Linked DNA regions of Ovis aries. The main gene of each other region encodes a partner of the protein of the gene in region 2 in a complex. Links are inferred from orthologs where the notes say so. Each region holds a gene or a part of one and is shown on either strand. Other genes may lie near its edges.

Evidence for each region.
Region 1: TBL1XR1 (region 2) and CORO2A share a complex: the UniProt entries of both Homo sapiens proteins name them as parts of the N-Cor repressor complex. The link is inferred for Ovis aries from reciprocal best matches to the Homo sapiens genes TBL1XR1 and CORO2A.
Region 3: TBL1XR1 (region 2) and GPS2 share a complex: the UniProt entries of both Homo sapiens proteins name them as parts of the N-Cor repressor complex. The link is inferred for Ovis aries from reciprocal best matches to the Homo sapiens genes TBL1XR1 and GPS2.

The regions. Positions count from the first base shown.
Region 1 is NC_056055.1:49,564,771-49,569,039, reverse strand, and holds the start of CORO2A (coronin-2A), read right to left. Parts: upstream 2,805-4,269; 5' UTR 2,551-2,804; intron 2,271-2,550; exon of another isoform or gene 2,182-2,270; intron 1-2,181.
Region 2 is NC_056054.1:210,755,504-210,759,104, reverse strand, and holds part of TBL1XR1 (F-box-like/WD repeat-containing protein TBL1XR1), read right to left. Parts: intron 945-3,601; coding exon 823-944; intron 684-822; coding exon 609-683; intron 1-608. UniProt on the Homo sapiens protein: F-box-like protein involved in the recruitment of the ubiquitin/19S proteasome complex to nuclear receptor-regulated transcription units. Plays an essential role in transcription activation mediated by nuclear receptors.
Region 3 is NC_056064.1:26,910,330-26,914,393, forward strand, and holds GPS2 (G protein pathway suppressor 2), read right to left. Parts: upstream 2,880-4,064; 5' UTR 2,825-2,879; intron 2,637-2,824; 5' UTR 2,568-2,636; coding exon 2,474-2,567; intron 2,150-2,473; coding exon 2,040-2,149; intron 1,965-2,039; coding exon 1,852-1,964; intron 1,701-1,851; coding exon 1,621-1,700; intron 1,542-1,620; coding exon 1,459-1,541; intron 1,268-1,458; coding exon 1,114-1,267; intron 1,022-1,113; coding exon 932-1,021; intron 837-931; coding exon 757-836; intron 673-756; coding exon 490-672; 3' UTR 440-489; coding exon of another isoform or gene 356-439; 3' UTR 261-355; downstream 1-260. Other genes in the region: NEURL4 (neuralized-like protein 4), read right to left, coding at 3,595-3,799. UniProt on the Homo sapiens protein: Key regulator of inflammation, lipid metabolism and mitochondrion homeostasis that acts by inhibiting the activity of the ubiquitin-conjugating enzyme UBE2N/Ubc13, thereby inhibiting 'Lys-63'-linked ubiquitination.

The DNA.
Region 1 (4,269 bases), on a different chromosome or scaffold from region 2:
CATGGACTTTTGGAACAAGCTGCCAGATTGCCCTGTAAAATTAAATGCTACTGGAGAATCCCTATAGCTTTACCAGCATAGAGTTTTATCCTTTTACATTTATTTCTGCTAATTTTGGAATAAATAGAGTACTTTCATTTACTATATGGTATGTGTTTTCAGACATACACACAAGGCCTGGAATAAAGATCTCTGGGCTTGGTTGCTTGTCTGCTGTGTGATCTTTGACAAGTCACATCCCCTCCAGGGACAGAGGATATCTATCTGTAAAATGACGGGGTTGAATGAGATGATTTTTTAAGATTCCTTTCAGCTTAGATATTTCATAATTCCATGGTGCATTTTAAAATTATTGGCCTAGGATGACTGTTTAATACCCAGGATCTGTCATACCTCTAAATCAAGGTCCAAACAGCTTGGACTAGTGGAACAGGAAAACAAAGCCCGGATTATACGCAGGTAGAGACGACAGGAGACACAGGGAGCACTTAAGCCTGTGCGAGGGAGCTACACTTGAGTGACAGGACAGATACTTAGTCTGCTTTTACGAGGGAATAATAACACTCATCTGTGGTCTAGCCTCAAGTCCCGTGCAGCTCCTCCATGGCCAGAAGGTAAGGTCGTGGTCACGCTACTTCAGCCTGAGAGTCCCAGACTTGCAGTCAAAGGTAGCTCACCCTCAGCAAGTGCTTGGCCAACCTCTGCTCACACACCTCTGAGGACCCAGCGGGCACCCCCTGCCCCAGCAGCCCTTTTTTTGGCTGTAAGAAAGCTCCCAGGTGAGGGACAGGTCTCGTGGGAGGACAAGGGAGACCAGAAGGCCCAGACCTGATGCTCTGAACCTGCTCCCTCAATCAGGGCGGGTGACAGGAGAGGATAAGGTCCGGAGAGAGGCTCCTCTGGCTCCTCTCACTCCAGACCTAAGGCAGCTGCTCACCTGCAGGTAAATCCTAAGGAAGTGGGTTGTGAACAAGCCCCAGGCTGACTACTGCCCCCTCTGGGGCAGACACCTCAGCTTCCTGGTCCCGCCTTGGCTCTCTTCAACTCCAACAGGAGAAACAATGTTGGATGTGGGGCTGTTTATCCCTGAGGTGAACTGGCTTAAGGGTCCAGATGACTACCCCAGGTTGGGAGGCAGGGAGGAGTCAGATGTTGTCTGTGTGCTCAGAGCAGGACTAGCAGATCCTAGCTCTGTTTGCAGCTAGTGAGATTCCCATAATAAGGGGTGTGCAACTGGGCAGTAAGACCTTCCAGAGGGGATCTGACCAAGGGGCTGGGCCAAATGCCAAGATTCTTCTTTACACAGAGAGTCTGGAGCCACACACAGTCCCTCCGACACCTGCTCTGTCCCAGACCCAACCCCACCCAGACATGGCTCTCCCGGTGCTGGAGCCCCTCTGGGGTCCATGCATGGACCTAGCCCTATCCCAGCAGGCTGGGACACCGAGCTGAGCGTCAGCACCTGGTGGGGAAAGGAAGGGAAGGGTATGGGGAGGGCAGGTTCCGCACCATTCCCTAAATCCAGGTGCTTGCACAGGTCTGGTCTAGGCAAGTCTGGGGCCAAGGCCCCCACTACCTCCAGCCCAGGGCTCCCGCCGCCCCAGACCGCGAGGTAGACTTGGCTGGCAGACTCTGATGGCTCCACCCTGCATGCCCAGGCCGGCTCCACAGGGACCTGGGGGGTGTCCGCTCCCCCTGCCTATTTCTCGTGCCCGGAAGCTGAGGTCCAGCAGGTTTCTCAGCCAGGAGAGGGTCGAGTACCACACGGGTCCCGCGAGGCACCCAGGCCGCTAGCGGGGGGCGGGAAGGAGGCTGACGGGCACGGCCAGCCACACCCAGCATGAGCTGCGCTCACTCCGGGTGGGCTGCGCAGACAGTGCCCATGCGGGCCCCGCGCCGTCGGGAGGCTGGAGCCTGAGGCGGCCCCTACTCTAACAGTCAGGCGAGGAACGTGCCACCACTGCGCCGGCTATTCCGATGGGGAAACTGAGGCCTGGAGAGGAGCAGTGCTTTGTGCAAGGTCACGCGGAGGGGCTGGAAGCCAGGTCCCCCGCGCCCCGCCGGGTCCCCCGCGGTGCGCCGAGCCCCAGCATCCCTCCCCATGCGCTGCAGCCCGGAGGCGCAGCGCGCACACATCGCACAAACCGGGAAGGTATGGCCGGCGGCCCGGGGCCGCCCTACCTTGATGACTGCCGCGCAGGTGGCGGTGGCGGTGGCGGCGGCGGCGGCGTCCAGCTCCGGCTCCGCGCTCTTAGCCGCCTCCGAGTCCCGGAGCCCAGCGCCGCCGCCTCCTCCTCCCCACCGAAGTCGGCGGGTGGGGCCGGTGGGCGGGGCAAGGGCTAGGCACATGCCCCGCCCTCGCGCCCCGCGAGTTCGGGGGCCACCCCTCCTTTCTCGAGCCCTTGTCCGCGCTCCTGGCCCCCGGGACTGGTCCCGGAGCGCGCACACGCGCGCAGAACGGGCGCGCACACCCGCGTGCACACGCCGCAGTGATTGGGGCGGGCTGCCCGGCTAACCGAGCCGAGGCTGGGGACAGTCATACTCGCCTACCTTCGCGCCCCGCCGCTCCCTCGCCGAATGGCTTGGAACAAGGGACTCGACCTTCCGGGAGCCTCAGTTACGCCCCTGATGAAAGGGAAGCAGTAACTGTGTCTGCCTCAGAGAGCTGTTTGAAAATTAGATGAGACGATCTAATTTACCTGCCTGGTGAAGTGCGTGCGCAGAGCCGACCTCGGGAGCAGCGCTCTGTGAACCTGGGCTGGTGGAGTAATTCCTTAGGCTTCTCAGTAAGCCTGCAGGAAGAGGGCGGGGAGGACCCGGAGGACGCCCTTCTTTCTCTCTGTGGCCAGGAGGGGGCGCTGCTGCCCGTTCCCGCCGGCTATGGGGTTTTGCACGCTAGGCACTGGGACAGAGATGGGGGTGGTCCAGCCTTTTAGGAATACCATCAGCTAGCACTTAATGAGCCAGGCACAGTTCTAGGCACCTTCAATGCATCACCATAGTTTACATCACACAAACCTATGAGGTTACCTGTTACTCATCTATTTTACACATGAGGAAGCTAAGGCACAGAGAGGTTAAGTAGTTTGCCTAAGATCACACAGGTAGTAATTCAACCCTAGGTAGAGTGGCTCCCAACCCCAAGCTTATAACTACACTACCACACCACCTCTCTTGAGAAGAGCTCTTTGTTTAGTGGTGTATCTCTAGGAGCTAGAACAGTACGTGGCTCAGTAACTGTTAATTCACCTCAACGTCTTAATTCGCATAGTGCCAGGGCCAGTAACTGGTGCACTCCCTTGCACTGTCACACATCTATGCCTTTGTTCACGCTGTCCCCTCTGCCTGGAGTTCTCTTCCCTCACCTCCTACTGTCCTTCCTTCCAAGGCCAGTACCAACGTCCCTCTCCGGGAAGTCTTCCCAGATTCCAGTGGGTGTGACCTCCCAGCGGTGTATCTGCCTCTTACCCCTCTGTGCCATGATAGTGGGTGGCTGGGACGGCGTTTGGGGACAGGCTGGTTGACAGAGGCCTTTCTGGGGGGCCTGGGCATATAGACCGGTGGGGAGGCCATTGGTGGGCTCTGCAATAGACACACCCTGGGACTCTCCCTAGAGATGCTGTGTAGGTGTGCTCCTCCTCCCCTGCCCCTTCCTTCCTCCTAACACTGATCCATCTGATGAAGACCGCCTGCCCAGTGGTCACGTTTGGTTGTGAGAGCTGAACTGTGAAGAAGGCAGAGCAGCAAAGAATTGATGGCTTCGAACGGTGGTGTTGGAGAAGACTCCTGAGAGTTACTTGGGCAGCAAGGAGAGCAAACCAGTCAATCTTAAGGGAAATCAACCCTGAATACTTGTTGGGAGGACTGATGCTGAAGCTGAGGCTCCAGTATTTTGGTCATCTGATGTGAACAGCTGACTCATTGGAAAAGTCCCTGATGCTGGGAAAGACTGAGGGCAGAAGGAGAGGGTGTTAGAGGATAAGATAGCTGGCTGGATAGCATCATGGATGCAATAGACGTGAACTTGTGAGGGACAGGGTGGCCGGGCATGCTGCAGTCCATGGCGAAGCAAAGAGTCGGACTCAACTGGGCAACTGAACATCAACATCTGCTGACTATCTGAAGTGCACACATGGGGAAACTGAGGCCAGAATGGGAATGACCTACCCAGGGGTCTCTAGCTAGGAAACACACAATAGGTCTGGTCCCAAAGTCTTCTATTGGGCCTTACTGCTGATTGAGATAGGCCAGAAATCCAACCCCTTCCTG
Region 2 (3,601 bases):
CTATGAAGGTTATCACGTTTGTAGGCAGTGGCATTGTAAAATCAAAGGTAAATTATTTTTAGTAGAGCTAATTTGATGAAGTATACAGCTCAAGCTTCATTAATTTTGAAGATTATTATATTTTTCTTTATCTCAAAAAGCTTTTCTCACCCCTTAATTCTGGTATGTGATATACACAGGGGCTAGGTGCTAGTTTTTGCTTTTAGTTATAAAACAAGAAAAATGTAAACTCATATTGAGATGTGAATTCTGACATGTCAACTATGCTCATTCACCGATTAAGCTATATATCCACTACACATCAGTTTCCGAGCAAAGGTGATATATATCCACACCACAGCAAAAACCCAATTAATACACTGCTCAGAATATCAGTCAAACCCATGAATCCTACAAAGATCTTCATTAATTACCTGTGAGTCAGATCTTTACATGAGCAAATAACCTTTCATTGTACCAAAATATGACTCATTACTAGCAAAGGCAATTTATAATAACACAAATCTTAGTATCATAATTCCCAACTACAAGAGGCACATTCTGAGAATGGCCAGCGCAGCCACACTGTATAACTCCTCAGCCCCCTTCCTCCCTCCTATCTGAATTACCTTCAAGGTCATGTCATCAGAACAGGATGCCAGGAGATTGCCAGTTGGGTCCCATTTGATAGCATTTACTTCATTCTAAAAATAACAGTAAACATTCACATTTTCATTCCATAGACTTGGTTGTTCTTTGGGTATTAAACACATACTTCAAAACCACTGAAACATTACTTATTCATCACAATTGCTTTAAAGGAGGGAGAAAAAAGTTTCTCACCGTGTGTCCCTGGAATGTTTTAATAGGTCTGTCTTGTCCTAATTTACAGACATGAATGCACATATCTGTACTACAAGAAGCGAAAGTGTTGTTGCTCTGCCAGTCAACATCCAATGCTGGTGCTGCAAAGGAAAAAAGGCCAGGTTTGTATTCATTCCACACGTACTGAAATCTGGGTGCTTTAGTTTTAAAACACTGCTGGACATTAAGAACTTAAAACGATTTGTTTTATTCTTTTTATATTAATAGAATTTTTAAGATTATGGTACTTAAATATCGCAAATATTAATACATTTCAGTTTGGTTGTCTCTATGTGAGACACAGCCTAATAGAAAGTATACTGGCCTGGTAACCAGGAGATGAGGGTTCCTGAGAGTTTGCTCTGTAAATTACTAGCACTAGACTCTTGGTACCTCATTTCTAAAAGAATAAAATTAAATGTGATGCTACATTTCCTTTTGTTTCTAAAATTCTGTGAGTGTTCAATGGATAAGAAGCCTTGTTTTGCTATTCCCTAACTAATGGGCCCTTATAAGCAAGTCAGCTCTCACGCTATTTCTCTCTGCTAAAAAATGGGGATAAAAACCTTTACACTTAGTACTCAAGGATATTGTGAACATCAAGTTAGATAACGTGTATGAAAGTACTTTGTAAATTACAAGTGAGACAAATGTTACACTAAGTAAGTACCATTTCCACTATCTACTTAACCGATAAATGGGAGTATTACATGATTGGCAAATACATTTTGCTTCTAACTGATTCTTGTCAAATATATCTTAAATTCTACATCACTGAATTTAAAACCTCAGAAGTTCAAAAGCTGGCTGGCATTTAATACTTTAGCTCGGATATGATTAAAGATTCTTTCCTTTCTCATTTTCCCCTGTTGCAAAGTGCAAAGCTTCTCTATAATTAGCAATGCAGATTAAGGTAATGATAGCAAGTAACTGGGTTAAGCAATAGAAGCATACCAAACACTGCATTTAGAGCAGGCAGTAGGTGGTTGGGGGAAAAGGTGAGAATCAAAAATGAAGCTTGCTTGGCAAGACAAGGAAAATCCCGATATATAACAAACACTTCAGAGCCCTGCATGAATTAGGTTGACCCTAGACCTTTGTCACCAGAACTGTTCCCTTCCTTGGCTCCTTTCCTCTTTCCCATCCTGCTTCTGGGAGAATCCAACTAAGTCAGTGAATAAAAACACTGGCCCACTTTGATCAGCACGATGTCTGGTATGCTGTTGTTCATGTGCACCACAACCTCTTAGAGCAATGTAGACAACCGTTCCTCTGTGAGCTTATCTTCAGCCCACTCCTCACCCCGCTCTGCCCTGCCCTTCTTTGCCACCAGGACATGACATATTGCAGGTCCCCATGCCTGCAGTACCCTAGATGGGCTCATTAAGTGGAAGAAACTGTCAGAAGTCTAAGGTCAGGAGAAAGAGGGCAGACAGGCAACTCTGTGGTCCTCTCTCTTTAAGACTGGGTCTTTGGCAGTGACTCTGATTGCTCCACGGTGCCTGCTCTCGCCAGGCAGCCTATTCTCTAAAGACACCATTTCCACTGGGTAGTTGGATCCTATCATTTTCTCTACAGTCTTAGGTTTACTGCAGTTGTTAAACTCTGAGTTACCTCCTACTTCTCTATTCTTCACTCTTATAAGACTTCTGCTAGAGTTTCCTTATATTATGTTCCCTTTCTTGAATTACCTGGTTTAGATTTTGTCTTTGTGATTTGGAATTGGAGTCAGTAACTACACCTTCATTTTGACATTAAATATTATTAAGATACAATTTTGAAAAATAATTTTAACAAAATGCTTATATGATAATTTACTATAGTGTTAAGAAGTGGGGGAAAGGACTTCCCTGGTGGCACAGTAGATAAGGGTTTGCCTGCCAATGCAGGGGACACGAGTTCGATCCCTGGTTTGGGCAAATTTCACAGGTTGCGGTGCAACCAGGCCCTTGTACCACAACTACTGAGCCTGTGCTCTGCAAAGAAGAGAAGCCACTGCAATGAGAAGCTCACACACCACAACGAGGAGTGGCTCCTATTCGCTGCGACCAGAGAATGCCTGCGTGTAGCAACAAAGACCCAGTGCAAACACCCCCAAAAAATAATTGTGTGTATGGGGGTGTGTGTGTGCCAAAAATGTAAATAATTTAAAGAACAATTAAAAGTTATATAATAAAACGCTGTGAAGAAGGCCAAGTATCTGTTGTGCTCCACCAGGGTATCAATCTGATAGTGCATCATCTGAAAATGTTAGATAGGTGGCTGAGAAAATCAGAAACAGTATTTAAACAAATACACTATTAGGTCCAAACCAAAACAAAAACTAAGTGTATAACCAGGTAAAGATAACTGAAGGAAGCTGGAGAATGCTAAGACATGAGTTGTATGATTAATGTTCTGTGATATGCTTGGCTCATAAGATACAATGATTATAGTTTGGTGTGATCTAAGAACCCATACCGCCTTACTTTATATTTTATTCCTAAAATTTAAAAATAACTCTAGGTAATATAAGTCCTTCAGGATAGAGACACATCTTTAACATAAAATATATTTTTATGTAGGTAATACATGAGAGGTATATTTACTATTATTGGTTTCATTTTTCATATGATGAAAAAGGCTAAGAAAAGTTATTGGCTGAGGGTACACAATCTTCTAAATTCCTGGAGCTGGAATTCCCTGATGGTCCAGTGGTTAGCACTCTGCTCTTTCACTGCAGGGGGCATGAGTCTGATCCTTGGTTGAGGAACAAGGA
Region 3 (4,064 bases), on a different chromosome or scaffold from region 2:
TCCTTTCCTGCGGGCTCTCTCCCCGACACATTTGTTAAAATCAAACCTGAATAAAACTACAAGTTTAATATGAAGTCCCCAACTCAACTGCTTTTTTGAATTAAATGGGTATTTATTTGGAAATCTGAAGAGTACAGGTTGAATGAACTCTGCTGCTGAGTTCATTACAACCAACCCTGCTGTCGCCCTGTGATTCCTGCCAGCCACTGCCCACCCTCTTAAACAGTCCAGTGGGAGGCAACACAGACAGCAGCCAGGGGCAGTGGCAGGTAGATTTTATTGGCCTGGTACTGGGATACCGGGGATCCTCCCCAAGGGCAGGGGTTGGGGTCAAGGCTGAAGATAAATCTGATGGTCACTTGTGGTAGAATCGTGGATTCTGGCTGTGCTGGATGAAGGGGAGCCGAGGGCCAGGCTGGCTGGTGGTTGCAAAGCCCGACTGGCAGTGGTGATGAAAGGAGGGCCTTGTCAGTGTGCACACCCTCCTGTCTACTCCACACCAGAGAGCCACCCCAGGGAGGGGAAAGGAAAACGGTGCAATGCAGGGATTCTGAGGGACCCGATCACCACCCTTACCTTTCCTGCTGGTTGCATCTGCACAGGAAGCTGGGGTGAAGCCAGGAGTCCAGGGGCAGGATGCAGAGCTTGGGGATGCATGGGACGCAGGGAGGACTGCAGAGAACAGTGTCAGCAACTGAGGCAGCCTGAGGTTCCCCTTAGCATAGGCAGCCCTTGACTTTGCAAGGTTCTACTCACTGAGTCAGAGAAGCCAGTCTGCTGGTTAGCGTGTTCCATCTGCTTTTGTAAGGACAGGGCACCACCAGGCTGGAGAAACCCTAGGCGGGGAAGGAGTGTGAAGTGAATGGAGAAGGGGGAAAGGAGGAAGGTAGGATGCATGGAACTGGGCCCCAGCATGGGGTGTTCCCATCACCTGTCTGGGTGGGCTGAAAGTGGCTGTGCACGGCATAGGGCTGTGGCTGTGGCTGAGACAAGTACTGCACTGCAGGAAACGCGGAAGGTGCTGAGGAAGGCAGGAGGCCATTAGAACTTCCTTGTAGCCTGTTCAACACTCCTCCCTTTGGGTCTTGAGGAAAATTCCTCTTCCCACCTCACCTCTGAGCTGCTGACTAGGACTGTAGGCAGGCTGCGTGGGTCCATAGTGAGGTGGGGGTTGAGCAGCTCCATAGGCGCCACCCGGGCTACCTTGGAATTGCCCATGCTCCGGGGTCCCTGCGAAAGCAGCTGCTGAGCCCACGTAGTGCCGGGTCTAAGAAGGAAGGATGAAAACTCACTGCCTGTAAACTCCATGAAGCAGAAATTCAAGTGACAGCACCCCCATTCCCCCTATTCAGATGTAGACACACTCAAGACTTGAGTGCTGGCTGGTGAAGATGCTAGGGTCTGGGTGGAAGTAGGAAAAAAAAATTCAGCCTAGACACCCAATCTTCCTACTCTTACCGTAAGTACTTGGGGTCCAAACATCTGTTTGGCTCTGTCAGCTGCCATGAGGGTGCCTGGGCGATTGTGTCCTCCAGGGCTCCCTAGAGAGGGAGAGGGGTGCTTCATGATGTTGCAACTCCCAGGAGGGCCCATTCTGACCAGTAGTTTCTTAATCCTCACCCTGCATGCTGAGGAGGTGAGTTCCGGTGTGAACGGTCAGGCCTTGCTGGTATGCTGCTGATGTCAGAGTGGTCAGGTCACTGGAGCGAAAGGAAAGCGGGTCAAAGACAAGTCTGTCCTGTCTCCACCCCCACACACTTCCCTTCCCATTTGCCATTAAACACTGATCTTTTGTTACCTGATCCCTGTTACACTTTGGCCTCGATTTTATTTTTAGTTCTTTAATCTCACCTCTGCTCTTTTCGCCTCCGTTTTTCTTCCTCATGTAAAACTTTCTTGAGCTGCAGGAAAAGTTGATGCTTCTCTTCCTGTAGAGCTAAAAGCTTCTCCTGCAACTTCAGGATCTGGGGAGGGGAGAGAAGATGAAAGCAGGAGAGCCAAGAGAAGAAAGAAGTGGGAGAGATGGAGGGACTGCTTACTTGTTCCTTGGTCTCCTCTAGTGACATTCTCTCTTCCATCTCCTTTTTCTTCCTTCTCTCCTGCTCTTCCTTCATCTTCTGTTCCATCATCTTGTCCACTTCTTCCTCCTCTGAAATAAGAGGCAGAATGGGCAAGCGGCAGGGTGTTAAAATATTAGAACATTAAGAACTGAAGAACAGCAAAAACTGGTTATCCCAGTGCTCTGGAATAGGCTTCATCACTGTGAGGGGGCTGGAACGGGGAGGTTTATTAGGTGCTCTCCAAGGTCCTTCCCAGCTCCGGGCGTGGCCTTTTTTAACTCCCACCACCATCACCACGGGGCTAGCTGTCCCTCTGGCTTCGGCCGTCGTGCACTGGTCTGCCCGTGGGTGGGGGTCACCGTGGACCGCGGAGCGCCCGAACCGTGTGTCCTCCCGCTTTGAGCCCGGCTCACCCTGCCGCTTGCGCTCCCGCTCCATCATGATGTGTCGGTGCAACGCCCTGGCCATGGCGTTGGACAGCTTCGGACGCTCCAGAAGCGCAGGCATGGTGCTGCTGGGGACGCTCGGGCCGTGAGCGCCCGGCTCTGTCGCTGGCTGCCAGACCTCTGGCCGGGCCTGCGGGGAGGCGGCAGCTCAGTGGGAGCGGGCCGCGTCCAGGCGGAAGCCGCCGCCCGCCGCCCCGGTCACGTGCCCGCCGCCCGGCCGGGCCCACAGCGCGGCTCTTCCGCGTGCGCGGGCCTGGGTCTCGGTCTCCGTGCTCCCGCCCCTGCCCGCCACCCGGGCGCCCGCCCCACCCTACTCGCCTTCTCGTCGCTTTCTCTGTGGCCTCCCGAGCTGCAGGACCGCGGCGTCACATCCGGCCGCTGGGCCGAATCCTTCCGGAGTCGGGCCTCCGCGGGCTCGCTGGTTGGGCGGAGCGGCGCAGACGGAAGTGCCGGCGACGGGTGCTCGTGGTGTCCAAACCCCCGCTATGTGCCCCACGAGACTCCCCGACCCGGCCCGCCCAGCGGGCGGAGCCCCCGAAGTTGGCGGGGCCGGGGCTCCTCCCGTGGACGAGAGGCACGCGAAACAGGGGCCGAGGCGGCTGCTCTTAGACTTCGTTTATTGGCTCCTTATAAATCAGAGTCAGTAACAACTGTACAGAGGCCCGAGCCCCGGCCCCCGCCTTCCCCACTCCCGCCCGGGCCGGAACAGCAGCTTCGTTGGGGCACGAGGAGACGCCTCTGGGATTCACAGTAACCAGGGAACAGAAACGGAAATAAATTAAGTGTATGGGGGAGGAGTCGCGGGGAGTCATGCTCCCCAGATCAGTGCATGGAGAGGGTTTCCCGGGGTCTGCGGCCGGGCTCCCCACTGCGCCCTCACCGCGGAGGGAGGGACGTCCCCTTCCGGCCGGGGCACGGAGCCAAGCTCCGCTTCCCAGCTAGTCTAGGAGCCTGCCCACACGCTCCTGTGCATCTGCCAGGCTGAGCACCATGCATGTCGCGGAGCGCTGGAATGACCTGGAGGCAGTCATCATTCCGAGTCCACGGGCCGAGGCCCAACTGTGCTTGTAGTGGTGCGGCCTCGCCCCTCACTCCACCCGTACCAGCAGGGCATAGAGGAGCGTGGCCCCTTTCTCCTTGGTCACCCACTCAAGTTCAGCTGGGCTGAAGTGAGGATCGGGAGGCTCTCTGAGGGCCACAGAAGGGGGTCCCGGGGTGTAGGAGCCAGGGCGCACACACACCTGGAACGCCACCTGGGCCTGGTGCGTCCGCTGGGATTTGGGGTCCCGGAATCTGTCAGGTAACAAGCAGAAATAGGGCAGTGAGGCCTCTGGCCCCAGTACCTCTGCCCCTTGGCACCTGCAACCACCTCAATTAGCAACAGGCCCTGCTGTTCCTAGTAGTCACTCCTTCCTTACAGGGGCTTGGCTGCAGCCTCATCTCTACCTGAAATGGTCTTCCTCCCAATGCCTGTTCTACTGACTTTGTCCTGCCCAAGTCTTTGCTCAGATTCATCCTAGTGATATCTACCTGGACTACCCGATCTTGTGTGCTCCAA